3 linked regions of the Ovis aries genome follow. The protein of the gene in region 2 purifies or fractionates together with the protein of the main gene of each other region. This does not show direct contact. Links are inferred from orthologs where the notes say so. Each region holds a gene or a part of one and is shown on either strand. Other genes may lie near its edges.

What was found.
Region 1: the proteins of FBXW8 (region 2) and CCDC8 purify together in Homo sapiens (affinity purification with mass spectrometry; 3 studies listed by BioGRID and IntAct, with this or other methods). This does not show direct contact. The link is inferred for Ovis aries from reciprocal best matches to the Homo sapiens genes FBXW8 and CCDC8.
Region 3: the proteins of FBXW8 (region 2) and CUL1 purify together in Homo sapiens (affinity purification with western blotting; 9 studies listed by BioGRID and IntAct, with this or other methods). This does not show direct contact. The link is inferred for Ovis aries from reciprocal best matches to the Homo sapiens genes FBXW8 and CUL1.

What each region holds. Positions count from the first base shown.
Region 1 is NC_056067.1:53,468,970-53,472,786, reverse strand, and holds the start of CCDC8 (coiled-coil domain-containing protein 8), read right to left. Parts: upstream 2,748-3,817; 5' UTR 2,061-2,747; coding exon 384-2,060; 3' UTR 1-383. UniProt on the Homo sapiens protein: Core component of the 3M complex, a complex required to regulate microtubule dynamics and genome integrity. It is unclear how the 3M complex regulates microtubules, it could act by controlling the level of a microtubule stabilizer.
Region 2 is NC_056070.1:58,087,744-58,091,460, forward strand, and holds part of FBXW8 (F-box/WD repeat-containing protein 8), read right to left. Parts: intron 3,231-3,717; coding exon 3,024-3,230; intron 1-3,023. UniProt on the Homo sapiens protein: Substrate-recognition component of the Cul7-RING(FBXW8) ubiquitin ligase complex, which mediates the ubiquitination and subsequent proteasomal degradation of target proteins.
Region 3 is NC_056057.1:113,064,495-113,068,094, reverse strand, and holds the start of CUL1 (cullin-1), read right to left. Parts: upstream 2,365-3,600; 5' UTR 2,219-2,364; intron 1,963-2,218; exon of another isoform or gene 1,656-1,962; intron 1,509-1,655; exon of another isoform or gene 1,383-1,508; intron 1-1,382. UniProt on the Homo sapiens protein: Core component of multiple cullin-RING-based SCF (SKP1-CUL1-F-box protein) E3 ubiquitin-protein ligase complexes, which mediate the ubiquitination of proteins involved in cell cycle progression, signal transduction and transcription.

The sequences.
Region 1 (3,817 bases), on a different chromosome or scaffold from region 2:
ACATTCCTTGGGTTACTATAAAGAGTCTGTATTAAAAAAAAAAAAATCAATGCAAAAAAAAAAGTCAATGCATAGGGAATTCCCCGGCAGTCCAGTGGTTAGGACTCAGCACTTTCACCACTGGGGAGACCTGGGTTCAATCCCTGGTCAGGAAACTAAGATCCCACAAGCCATGTGGGAAAAAAGAGAAAGAAAGATAGAAAAAAAAAAATCAATGCATAGAAAATACAGTTTTAATAAGAAAGGGACATTCGGTAGAGACGTGAGAGGCACTGCCAGGCCCTCACTCTACCTCCATTTTCAAGTGTGGAGAGTCACACATGCCGTGAGGGACCCACACTGCGGCAGGTGCTGAGGTCCTCCGTGGCCCCCCTGCCCTCACCTCACAGCTGGTCCTCTTGCTCTCCACGCTCTGCCTCCGCTCTGGCCTCGGCCCGCAGGACCCTGAGGCTCCTGGCCTCGCCTGCCCTGGGCACTCTCTTGGGTAGCGTGGGCAACCGGGGAGTGTGCCAGAAGGCTCTCCGGCGCTTCCGAAACCATGAAAAGCGTCCGGGGGTCTGGAACCTCACTGTCTTGACTGGTTTCCGGGTCTGAGCTCCTGCAGTGGCCCCTGTGGCCCTTCCGGCAGCTGAGGAGTCAGCCTCCGGAACAGCCGGGGTCTCTGCCCTCTGATTACAGGCAGCTTCTGCCCTCTGGACCGATCCAGCTTCTTCCCCATCAGGTACAGCCTCTGCTCCCTGGACAACCGGGGCTTCTGCCCTCGGATCCTCTGCAGCTTCTGCCCTCGGGTCAGCCGGGGCCTCTGCCCCCTGGACAGGTATGGCCTCTGCCCCCTGGACAGCCAGGGCATCTGCTCTCTGATTATCCACAGCCTCTGCCTCCTGGACAGCTATGGGCCCTGCTCTCTGATTAGCTATAGCCTCCCCCCTCTGATTAGCTATAGCCTCCCCCCTCTGATTAGCTATAGCCTCCCCCCTCTGATTACCTATAGCCTCCACCCTCTGATTATCTACAGCCTCCCCCCTCTGATTAGCTATAGCCTCCCCCCTCTGATTAGCTACAGCCTCCCCCCTCTGATTACCTATAGCCTCCACCCTCTGATTATCTACAGCCTCCCCCCTCTGATTATCTGTGGCCTCCCCCCTCTGATTATTTGCAGCCTCCACCCTCTGCTCATTTGCAGCCTCTCCCCCCTGAGCTCTGGAAGCTGTTTCCTCTCTCCTGCGACGTCTGAAGGAAGCCCAGTTGATCTGGGGCCTCCATCGCCTTGGGGGGGTCTCAGCCACCCGCCCATCTCGTGCATTTCCCAGGTTACACCCCAGGCTGGCGCTGCCTGGCACCGATGCACTGTCCCTCTCCACCCCGGTAGAGGCCTGCCTGGCCTCGCCCACCCCGGGGCTGGACTTCGGTGTCCAGCCCTTCACCCTCCGCTTCAGCTTCCCCCAGGACACCTGGCTGACACACTCCCGCCACCTGTCCGCTTTGGACTGCTGGGGCCCTGGGCTGTCGTCAAACATGGGTACGGGCAGGTTCACCCGGCGGCGGGGAGGAGGCACGCTGGGTTTCTTCTCCCCTCGCCGGAGGAAGGCCTCCACCAGTTCCTCATCATCCTCGCTCTCCAGGTCGCTCCCGAGGAACTTGCTGCCCAGGTAACTGACGGGCATTTTGCGCACCTTCCTGCCACGGCCGGCGCCTTTGCGGCCCTTGTCAGCCTTGTTCCTGGAGGTCTCGAAATCGCTGAACTCGCTGTCACTGGCGTTACTGCTGTCATAAGTGCCCACGACCAGCCGGGGGGGTGGGGTCACCATCTGCTGGACTCTCCTCCTCACTCGGGGCTCCTTAGACTTTCTAGGGGGCTGGGGTGGATGCGGGGTGCTCTTCTCGATGATGCGGGCCACGTCCTCCAGGGTGCGGCCCTCTTCTTCCAGAAACTGGATCAGCCGTTCCCGAAATTCTGCCTCCTTGGTGGCCGGCTTGGAAATGACCCTCCAGACGCCCCCGGCCAGCCGGACCTCGCGGGGGATGAGCAGATAGTCCACATCTTCCCCAATCTGCAGCATGCCCACGGTGGAGTCCTCCTCCCGGCGGAACACCTTGCCGATTTTCTTAAAGGTCCCCACGGGCTTCAAAGCTTCGACGAGGACGTCCAGATCCACGTCTTTGCAGACGTCCGGGACGCTCCAAAGGATGAGGCAGTCGGGGGACGGGAGGAAGCCCCAGGGGAACCAGCCCCCCACATGGCTTTTCTCGAGCGTCTTTAAGATCTCCAGGGTGAAATCTGGGCTGGGGGCAATGAGCCCAAACTGCTCGTAGCCTCGAGTCTTGGGCGGGGAGAGGGGGGTAGGTTGCTCTCCCCGCAGCGCTGCCCTGAGAGTCTCACTTCCCACTTTCCTCTGCAACAAGTCCGGTCTCGATCCGCTCCCCGCGAAGGATTAGTGGGAATCAATTTCCAGGATGCTTACGTGAGCCGGGGTGAGGTCAGTTCTGAGGCTCCCAGCCCACTGCAAGCTGCAGACGCGGTGTCCCGGCTCCAACTGCGGGCGCACGGGCTGTCCGGTGGTTCTTCCTGTGCCACAGATGCGCCTGGAACTTGAGAGAGGACTTCGCAGACAAAGGCGGCTCAGCCTTGGCTATTCAATATGGCCGAGGCGCTCGGAGGCCGCGGCGCAGCTCCCCAGGAGGGTCTCCCACTCCTAGGCAGGCTTCCACCTCAGGCCAGGCTGACCTTGCCGCGCCTCCCGCCTCCCGGCCGAGGAGCGCGCGCGCGGGCAGGAAGTTCCTCCTCGCCGGCCCCCAGGATGGGGCCCACCTTCCCCCTTCTCATCTTACACTCCGGGACTCGGGAAGACTGACAGGGGGGCTGTCCACTCCCTTCGGGACGCCCTCATTCCCCTCCCCCACAGGGGTGTGGCCGCGCCCCGGGCCTCTCTGAGGCCCCGTCTTCCTAGCCGATCGCCCCGCGCCGAAGCGAAGCCCACGTCAGCAGCTTTCCCCGGGAAAGGCGGCCGTTCCCAAACCTGCCATCCCAAACGTGCGGGTTCCAGCCAAGCCCGGAAGGTGGGCGTGCAAATGGGGCAGTCCCTCTGAAACCCGTTGGCACGGTGTATTACTATTTTAAAATCACGTGACTTTTGGTATCCGCACTTCCTACCTATAGACCCAAACAGGTGGGTAGAGAACTTGGTACCAGCTCCAGGATGGAGCTTGGCACACAGTAGGTGCTCTAGAATACTTCTGAGTGAATGAATGAATGGTTGGATGGGATCACAGGCTTCAGTGGACAAGAGACTGAGCAAACTCCCGGAGATAGTGAAGGACACGGAAGCCTGGCTGTGCTGCAGTCCATGGGGTTGCAAAGAGTTGGACACAACTTAGCCACCAAACAACAGCAACCTGATCATCAGTAGAAACTCGGTTCTTTCAGTAAAATATTAGGCAGCTATGAAAAAAAAAGTAACTGAGGATAGTCACCTTTTATGGAGCACTGCTGCTGCTGCTGCTGCTGCTGCTAAGTCGCTTCAGTCGTGTCCGACTGTGCTACCCCATAGACGGCAGCCCACCAGGACTAGCTATGTATTAATACTAGACATCACTCTATTAATACAAATTAACTCATGAAATCTTCACCAAAGCATTATGAGACAGGTAATACGATGCTCATTCCCATTTTACAGCTGAGGGGAAAAAATCACTTGCTCAAGGTCACATGAGCAAGAAGAATGGGAACCTGGATTTGAATCTCAAATAATCTGACGTGTGTGTGTGTGTGGGGGGGGGGGCATGTTCACATGCATAGGCCAAATGGCATAGACAGGAG
Region 2 (3,717 bases):
AGAGGTGCTTAAACACATTCTTGTAGCAAATTTACTTTCACTCTTAAAACACCAATGGAAAACACCTACTAACAAGTGACAGACGTTATTTTCTTAGCACCAAAATCGCTGCGGAGGGTTGACTGCAGCCACGAAATCAAAAGACACTTGCTCCTTAGAAGAAAAGCTATGACAAACCCAGACAGCCTATTAAAAAGGAGAGATATCACTTTGCCGACAAAGGTCCATCTAGTCAAGGCTATGGTTTTTCCAAGAGTCACGAATGAATGTGAGAGTTGGATCATAGATAAGGCTGAGCACTGAAGAATTGATGCTTTCCAACTGTGGTGCTACAGAAGACTCTTGAGAGTTGCTTGGACTGCAAGGAGATCAAAGCAGTCAATCCTAAAGGAAATCAACCCTGAATATTCACTGGAAGGGCTGATGCTGAAGCTGAAGCTCCACCTCGGGCACATGATGAGAAAAGACGACTCACCGGTTAAGACCCTGATGCTGGGAAAAACTGAGGGCAAGAGGAGAAGGGGATGGCCAAGGATGAGATGGCTGGATGGCATCACTGACTCAATGGACATGAGTTTGAGTAAGCGCCAGGAGAGAGTGAAGGACAGAGAAGTCTGGTGTGCTGCAGTCCATGGGGTCATAAAGAGCCAGACATGTCTTGGTAAGTGAACAACAGCAAGTTATTAGAGGGAACAGGAACTTTTTAAAATGAATTTTTATCAAATTAACATACAAATCAGCTAATTCTCATAATTAATGCTTTTTAATTGGGTTGGAAAATTTGAGAGCCATCCAAAAAAGCGCCTATTTAGACCAATATCTAAAGGGTGCTCCAAGTCTAATTTTGTGCTGAGCTATTTCTTTAACCAGGGGCTTGGCTTCCCAGATGGCAGTGGTAAAGAATCTGCCTGCCAATGCAGGAGACAAAGGTTCAATCCCTGGGTCAGGAAGATCCCCCGAAAGGAGGATATGGCAACCCACTCCAATATTCTTGCCTGGAAAATTCCATGGGCAGAGAAGTCTGGCAGGCTACAGTCCATGGGGTCACAAAGAGCTGGACACGACTGAGCAACTGAGCACACACACATCCCTTTAACTGGTTTCTCAAATATATCTGTTTCTCAAATACATCCAACTACGACTGTATCACTATAGAAAGAGATCCACTCAGATAAGTCAAAGAGAAATAGGACCTGTCAGCTGAAATATTTACTAAAACTATGAAAGATTTAAACCAGGCTAGTATTAATTCAGGTATCACCTCACTACACTGAGAACCTGAGAAATAAGAGAGATAATTGAAACCTGAAAGCATGATGGATGAAAAATTAAGAAGCAAATAGTCTCTCTTCTTTCAATAAATGAGCTTGAGCTTGCCAGGGATGGGAAAAGAGTGTTTTCAAAGGCTGACAAAGGAAACTGCCTTAGGAAACCAACTGCTGTCCCTTTTTCCCCACTTTCCAGGAGGATAAAACACAGGAATTATATCATCACAGACTCTCCAGCTAAGATACGCTAAACAGGCTCCAGCAAAGCAGGCCAGCTTGAGCACAAAGGGATCCCTTTTTACAGTGAGATTACAATGAGTCTCATGTATTTTCAACCACTTTATCTGTCTTCCTGGTTGAAGAACATATAATAGGAATCCAAGTCACAAAACCAGTAAACGCCTAGAGAAGTGAGATGTGACCTTCCAGGAGATTACACAGGAGAGACAAAATGTACAAACCACAACCAGAGGCTCGGCTCAGACTATGAGTGCGAAAAAGAACAGGAAGCACTCAGAGACTGTTAATTCTCTGATGCCAGGCACTATGGGTAAAGCTTTACACACGTTGTTTCTTTAATCTTAGAATTCTACGAGGTCAGTACTGTGATGGGACTCCTTTTTACAAATGAGGAAACTAAGGCACAATGCAGGTTAAGCTACCCGTTTAAGGTCACAGTGGGGAGCGGGTGGCAGGGTTAGAACTGGAACACAGACAGCCTGTATCCAGTCTAGCTCTCTCCCAGTTCAGGACACTGCTACGTGGAAAGGGCTCTTTCCACAGGAAAAGGACGATATCAGAGGAGCTGCTGGCTCGGAGAAGTTCCTTCCCAGGGATTATACCCACTGCCAGCAGGGTGAGGAGCCAGCAAACTGGAGGAAAATCAAAACAACACAAACCTTTATCCATAACTCTCCCCGCTGATCCCATTGGAAGAGAGAGTTCTGTAAGTCAGTTTTAAGACTAAATACTTGGCCTACAGTCAGGATAGTAAAATACTAAGTAGTGCTAAAATCGAGTCATCATGCAAAGAATTTCAATTAGAAACCTGTCTCCTTGTTTCTGGCTCAGAGAGTATCAAGAGGCACTTTACACACTGCAGAAAAGGATGTAAATTTCGAGGCAACCTCATCAGAAGGCACTTTGGCAATGTCCATCAACCTTCTGACCAAGCGGCATAAATGCTAGGAATTCATCCCGGGGATTGACAAGTTGCAGTGTGCACTGGAGCACTGTCTGTTAACAGTCCACAGAGAGAGAAAGCAACCTCAGTGCCCAGCGATGAGGAGACTGGTGAAGCAGACTGTCGTAGGCAGTGCTGGAATCCCAGGGAGAGGGAGCTGACACGGAATGCTCTCCAGGGTACGCTACTGAATAAAACCTTGGGCACAGAACAGTAGTTACACTACGACCTCATTTCAAAGATACACTCTTTTAGTGTATAAACGTACCCACCTATGCATTAAAATTTTCTAGATGGATATCTAAAAACTGTTAATAGTTTCTTCTATGGAGTAGGGCTGGGGGAAGGGAAGAGAAAGGAAATTACTTGCCACTTTATATCATTTTGAGCTACCTGAAATCTTTTTTAACCAGGCTGATTATATATATACACACACACACATATATATATATCAATATATACTGCCTGAACACATCTTTTAAAAATATATCAGAGATTTAATTTTCAAATTGCCTCTTCAAATATAACATTCATGTGTTTTTGTTAAATCGTACATCTTTCTATTTTTGTACCTTGTTTCCTTCGTACACCCATCCCAGACTCTTCACACCGAAAGCAGCCTGGTTGGCGGAGACGTCCAGACACGTGACCGGCTGCCCGTAGACGTAATGGAGGGTTCTGGCAGAGTCTTCAGCTTTTAGCAGGTATACAAGATCTCCAGCGGTGGCCACTGCCACCGGGTACCTTTCAGTGTCCGGAACTATTTCAAGGTAGTCAACCTGTTAAAGGATAAGGGTTGGTTAGTCCTTCAGGTTTCACCTACAATTCGTCCTGACTTGGTCACAAATGAACAATTCCTCCTGCATGTCAATGAGAAGATCAGCAACCCAACAGAAAAAGACAGGTCAAGGGATGGTTCACAGGAAGTGAAACACAGTTCCTACACAAATGAAATGATGCTCATCATAAAAGAAACACAGCATACTCCTAATAAGAGAAATGCAAAGTGAAAATTCACAAGGTTATTTGCTGCAGCCCTATTTGGTCACAGCTAAGAACCAGAAAACCCAGAACATGCCTCACTAAGGGACTAATTAAACAATCTACAGTACACCGATGTCCTGGAATACCATGCAGTCACAGAAAAAACCACTGACATTCTCTATAAACTCTTACAAACAGATCACTGCTAAGACAAACTTGGGGGGGAAAGCAAGGAAGCAAAGGAAGAGGACTTTACAGTGTGGCAAGGTGTGTAAAAGTGGC
Region 3 (3,600 bases), on a different chromosome or scaffold from region 2:
CCATGCTTTTGCAGACTGCTAAAGCTATGCTGAGGTCTAGAAGCTGGGGGTTCAAGTAAAAGTGAATTTCAGTCCCTTCTGTCACTCCGATGAGTGCATTTCCAAAACTACGTGACCCCTGACTCCACTAACTTGGACTGTTTTAATGCCACTGCGCGAAGAGCAATTACACAGAGCAAATAAACACTTAACTGCAATTCCTCATTTGCACCCTCACCACTAACTCCAGCTGCGAACTGTGAGCAACGACAGTGATCCAATCCGAAAAGAGGATCCTATTTTTGGCAGAGAGCTCGCTAAAGGGAGAAAACCCTCAACTTTGGAGGATTAGGCTCAAGGAACGTTCACCATGCGTTTCTGCCCGGAACCACCAGCACTAGGCATACAGCACACGGGGGGCCAGAAGGGCGCGCGGGGCGACCCCTGCACGCGGCCGGCCGGCGCCCGGGTTACCTGCGGGGTCAGCGCGCGCTCCCGCCGGGTGCAGGGCCGGGGGCGCGCCGAGGCGGCGGCGCAGGCCCGGCCCGACTCGCGGGCGCTCGGCGGCCGCCGCGGAGGGGGGCGGGGGGGGCGCTCCGTCCGCTTCGGCCGCCGCACTCGCATCCCTGCGCGCCGCCCCGGGCCCGCTCCCCGAGGAGAACCGGGCAAAGGGGCGACTGTTACCCAATAATAGCGCCCTGCACAGTCGCAACAATGCGGGCGGGGAAACCCGGGAGCCGCGGGGCAGGGAACCGGAAAGCAGAGAGAGCCCGGCTCCGCGGCTCCTCCGGCGCGCAAGCCCAGTACTTTACTTGAGAGCACGAGTCGGGGGCAAGCGACGCTCGGGGGAGCGGTGGGTCCCCAGGGGGGCCGAGGGAAAGAGGGCGCGGGCTCGGGCACCCCTTGGTTGAGGTGGGGTGGTGGTCGCCGCCTGGAGAGAGGTGAGGCGCGCGCGCCCGACTGCCCCGGGGGCCGCTCGCCAGCCCGGCTCCGCGGCCCGAGGCGGGTCGCGCTGGGAAAGGGGCGGACGCCACCAGGCCGCCGCCTCGGGCGCGATGAATCGGGCCTTTTTTTTTTTTTTTCCCCAGTGCGTAGTCCGGGCCTGGGCCGCCCCGAGCCCGCGTCCGGGGCCGCGGCCCGCCAGGCCCGAGCCGGCCGGGGTGACTCAGGGCCGGACCCCGCGCGCGCGCGCGCGCGCTCCCCTCCCGCCCCCGGCGCCCTCTGCCCACGAGTGCCCCGGCCCCCGCCGCCATTCCGCCCGGTCGCGGCTCGGCGCCTCGGGCCTCTCGCCCGGCGCCTGAGCTCGGCCGCCGCGGCCCCAGTCACTGCGACACCGCGGCTCCGGGTCGGGCCTGCGCCGCCGCCGCCGCCTCCCCTCAGCCCCGGCGCCGCCGACAACTCACCCGCATTTCCCGGCTGCCTAAATGGCTCCGGCGACGTCTCCACCTGGTCGCTGGGCCCGGCCCCGGTTAAATCCCCGTCCCGCCAAGGTCTCGCCGCGTCCCTCAGCCGCCGGGGCTGCCCCGCCTGGAGCTGCGTGCGACACGGCTCCCGCCTCCTCCTCCTCCTCCTCCTCCCGGCCCGCCCGCCGGCCCTCCTCCCGCCGCCGCCGCCTGCACCACGCAACCTCCGCCCTCTCTCCTTCCCTTCGCCGCTCCCCGCCCTCCCGGCCTCACCGGCTCCGGCTCCCGCGGTGGAGAAGCTGGGGGGGGAGGGCCGGAACGCTCCGCCATCGGCGTCCGGGGCGGGGGAGCCGGGAAACCGTCGCCGCCATCTCCCCACCAGCCCCGCGGAGCGGGAGGGGCCCGAAAGCCCCCGCCCGCCGTGCCGCGGCCCCGAGTTCTCCCCACCCCGCCCGCCGCCCCGCGCCGCCGAGGCCCCGCTCGCGGGGCTGCTCTCTACCTGAAAGCCCCCGCGGGCCCCTGGCCATGGACGCCGCACCCTCCCCGGACGGGCGCACCGGATCCTCCTCCAGGTTTTACTGCCTCCCTGGCCTTGGGGGCCGCCTCTGAGGACCCGGCTTCCCGCCACTTTGGGCCGAACGAGGAGGGGGCGGGGGTGGTCACCTTCCTAGGTCGGGGCCCCAGCCTGAGGAGAAACCGGCCCGAAACACCCCGGAGCAGAGGGTCTTACACGCCGCCCTCCCCCGCTCCTGCGCGCACACACACTGAACCGACACGGATCACAACTACACCCGCTGGATCTACCTTCCCGGCGGGAGGATAACCAAAAGCCATACCCCGACCGGCTGATAAAAGTCAGAGATGGGCGAGTGGCCCTGAAAGGCAGGCGCAGCAGACTCCAGAGAAACGTGCCGTCCATTCTCTGAACCCCAGGACACCTGCGGCCTCGTGGATCGGCACCTCAAAGTCCCAGCTCCTCGGCGTCTCTCTGTCTCTCTCTCTCTCTAAAATTGGTTCGGAGATCAAACCAAATTAGCTTACCTCTTCAAACTCTCTAACCCACTCTTTTTTGAACAGAGGTCGACAAAGACACTTTACCATTAATCTCTGTAAAGATTAAGTGAAGAATGAAATTGAAGATCTTACATATATGGATGGGATGAGTGAGGTATGACTATTGAATAGGACTGTTTTCACCAGTGCTGCGGAGTCGTTCGTCTCATTCATCTGAAATTAACTCACAAGTGGTTACCTGAAATACAAATTTGGGCAGCGCAAATGGCCACCTGGCTTCCTGTGGGGACACAGGTGAGAAAGCTTGGACTTGAAGGGGCTTCTTCTCTAATCCCATGGTCCATGAACAGTTCAGCATGGAAAGATTTCAGGTTATCTGGGCCAAAGACTTGATGACTGTAACTTCCTGTTTTGCTCCAAAACTAAAACATTGAGTATCACCTTGGGGTGGAAATGCTAGGCCCAGAGCCTAGGGCTACTCCCACAGCCCTCACTGTTTCCTGAGGAATATGGATGTCTCTTAGAAGAAATATCTTAAGACATACTTGTATATGCGGTTCCTCCTATTGAAATGTGGCCTTCTGTCAACAACTCTTTATCTTTAAAAGTATGGCATTTGTCTGTACCTGTCACCAGAGTATGTGATCTCAGCCTATTTAAGGATTTTTAAATTCGTGCTTTATATCCTCAATGGACATGAGTTGGAGCAGACTCCGGGAGATGGTGAAGGACGGAGAAGCCTGGCGTGCTGCAGTCCATGCCGCTGCAAAGAGCTGGACAGGACTGAGCGGCAGAACAGCAACAAATATCCTATACTTCTAAATATTCAAAAGAAGCTTAGATGTATTTAACTTTCTCATGGGCACATGGGAGAATTGAAGGTAAAAATGGAAGGCTTGTACATATATATGTACACATATATGGGAGGCTGCACACATATGGTTTCTCTGAGACCCTCACTGCTGCGAGCTTTCCTCAGAGGACAGGTTAGCTCATCTCCCGTTTGTCTAACCTGTCCTCTGCCATTTCATCATCCAATATGGTCGTCCTGTCTGTGACTCCCCACAGCTAACACGTGAGCTGAGTGGGTCAACTTTCCCTTTGCTGTTTGTTTCTTCCAACGTCTGTTTTTCCCTAATGGGAGGATTTAGTTCATCTCTACCTTCCTCTCCACTTCTCATTGCCTCAGTTCCTAGTTCTTAAT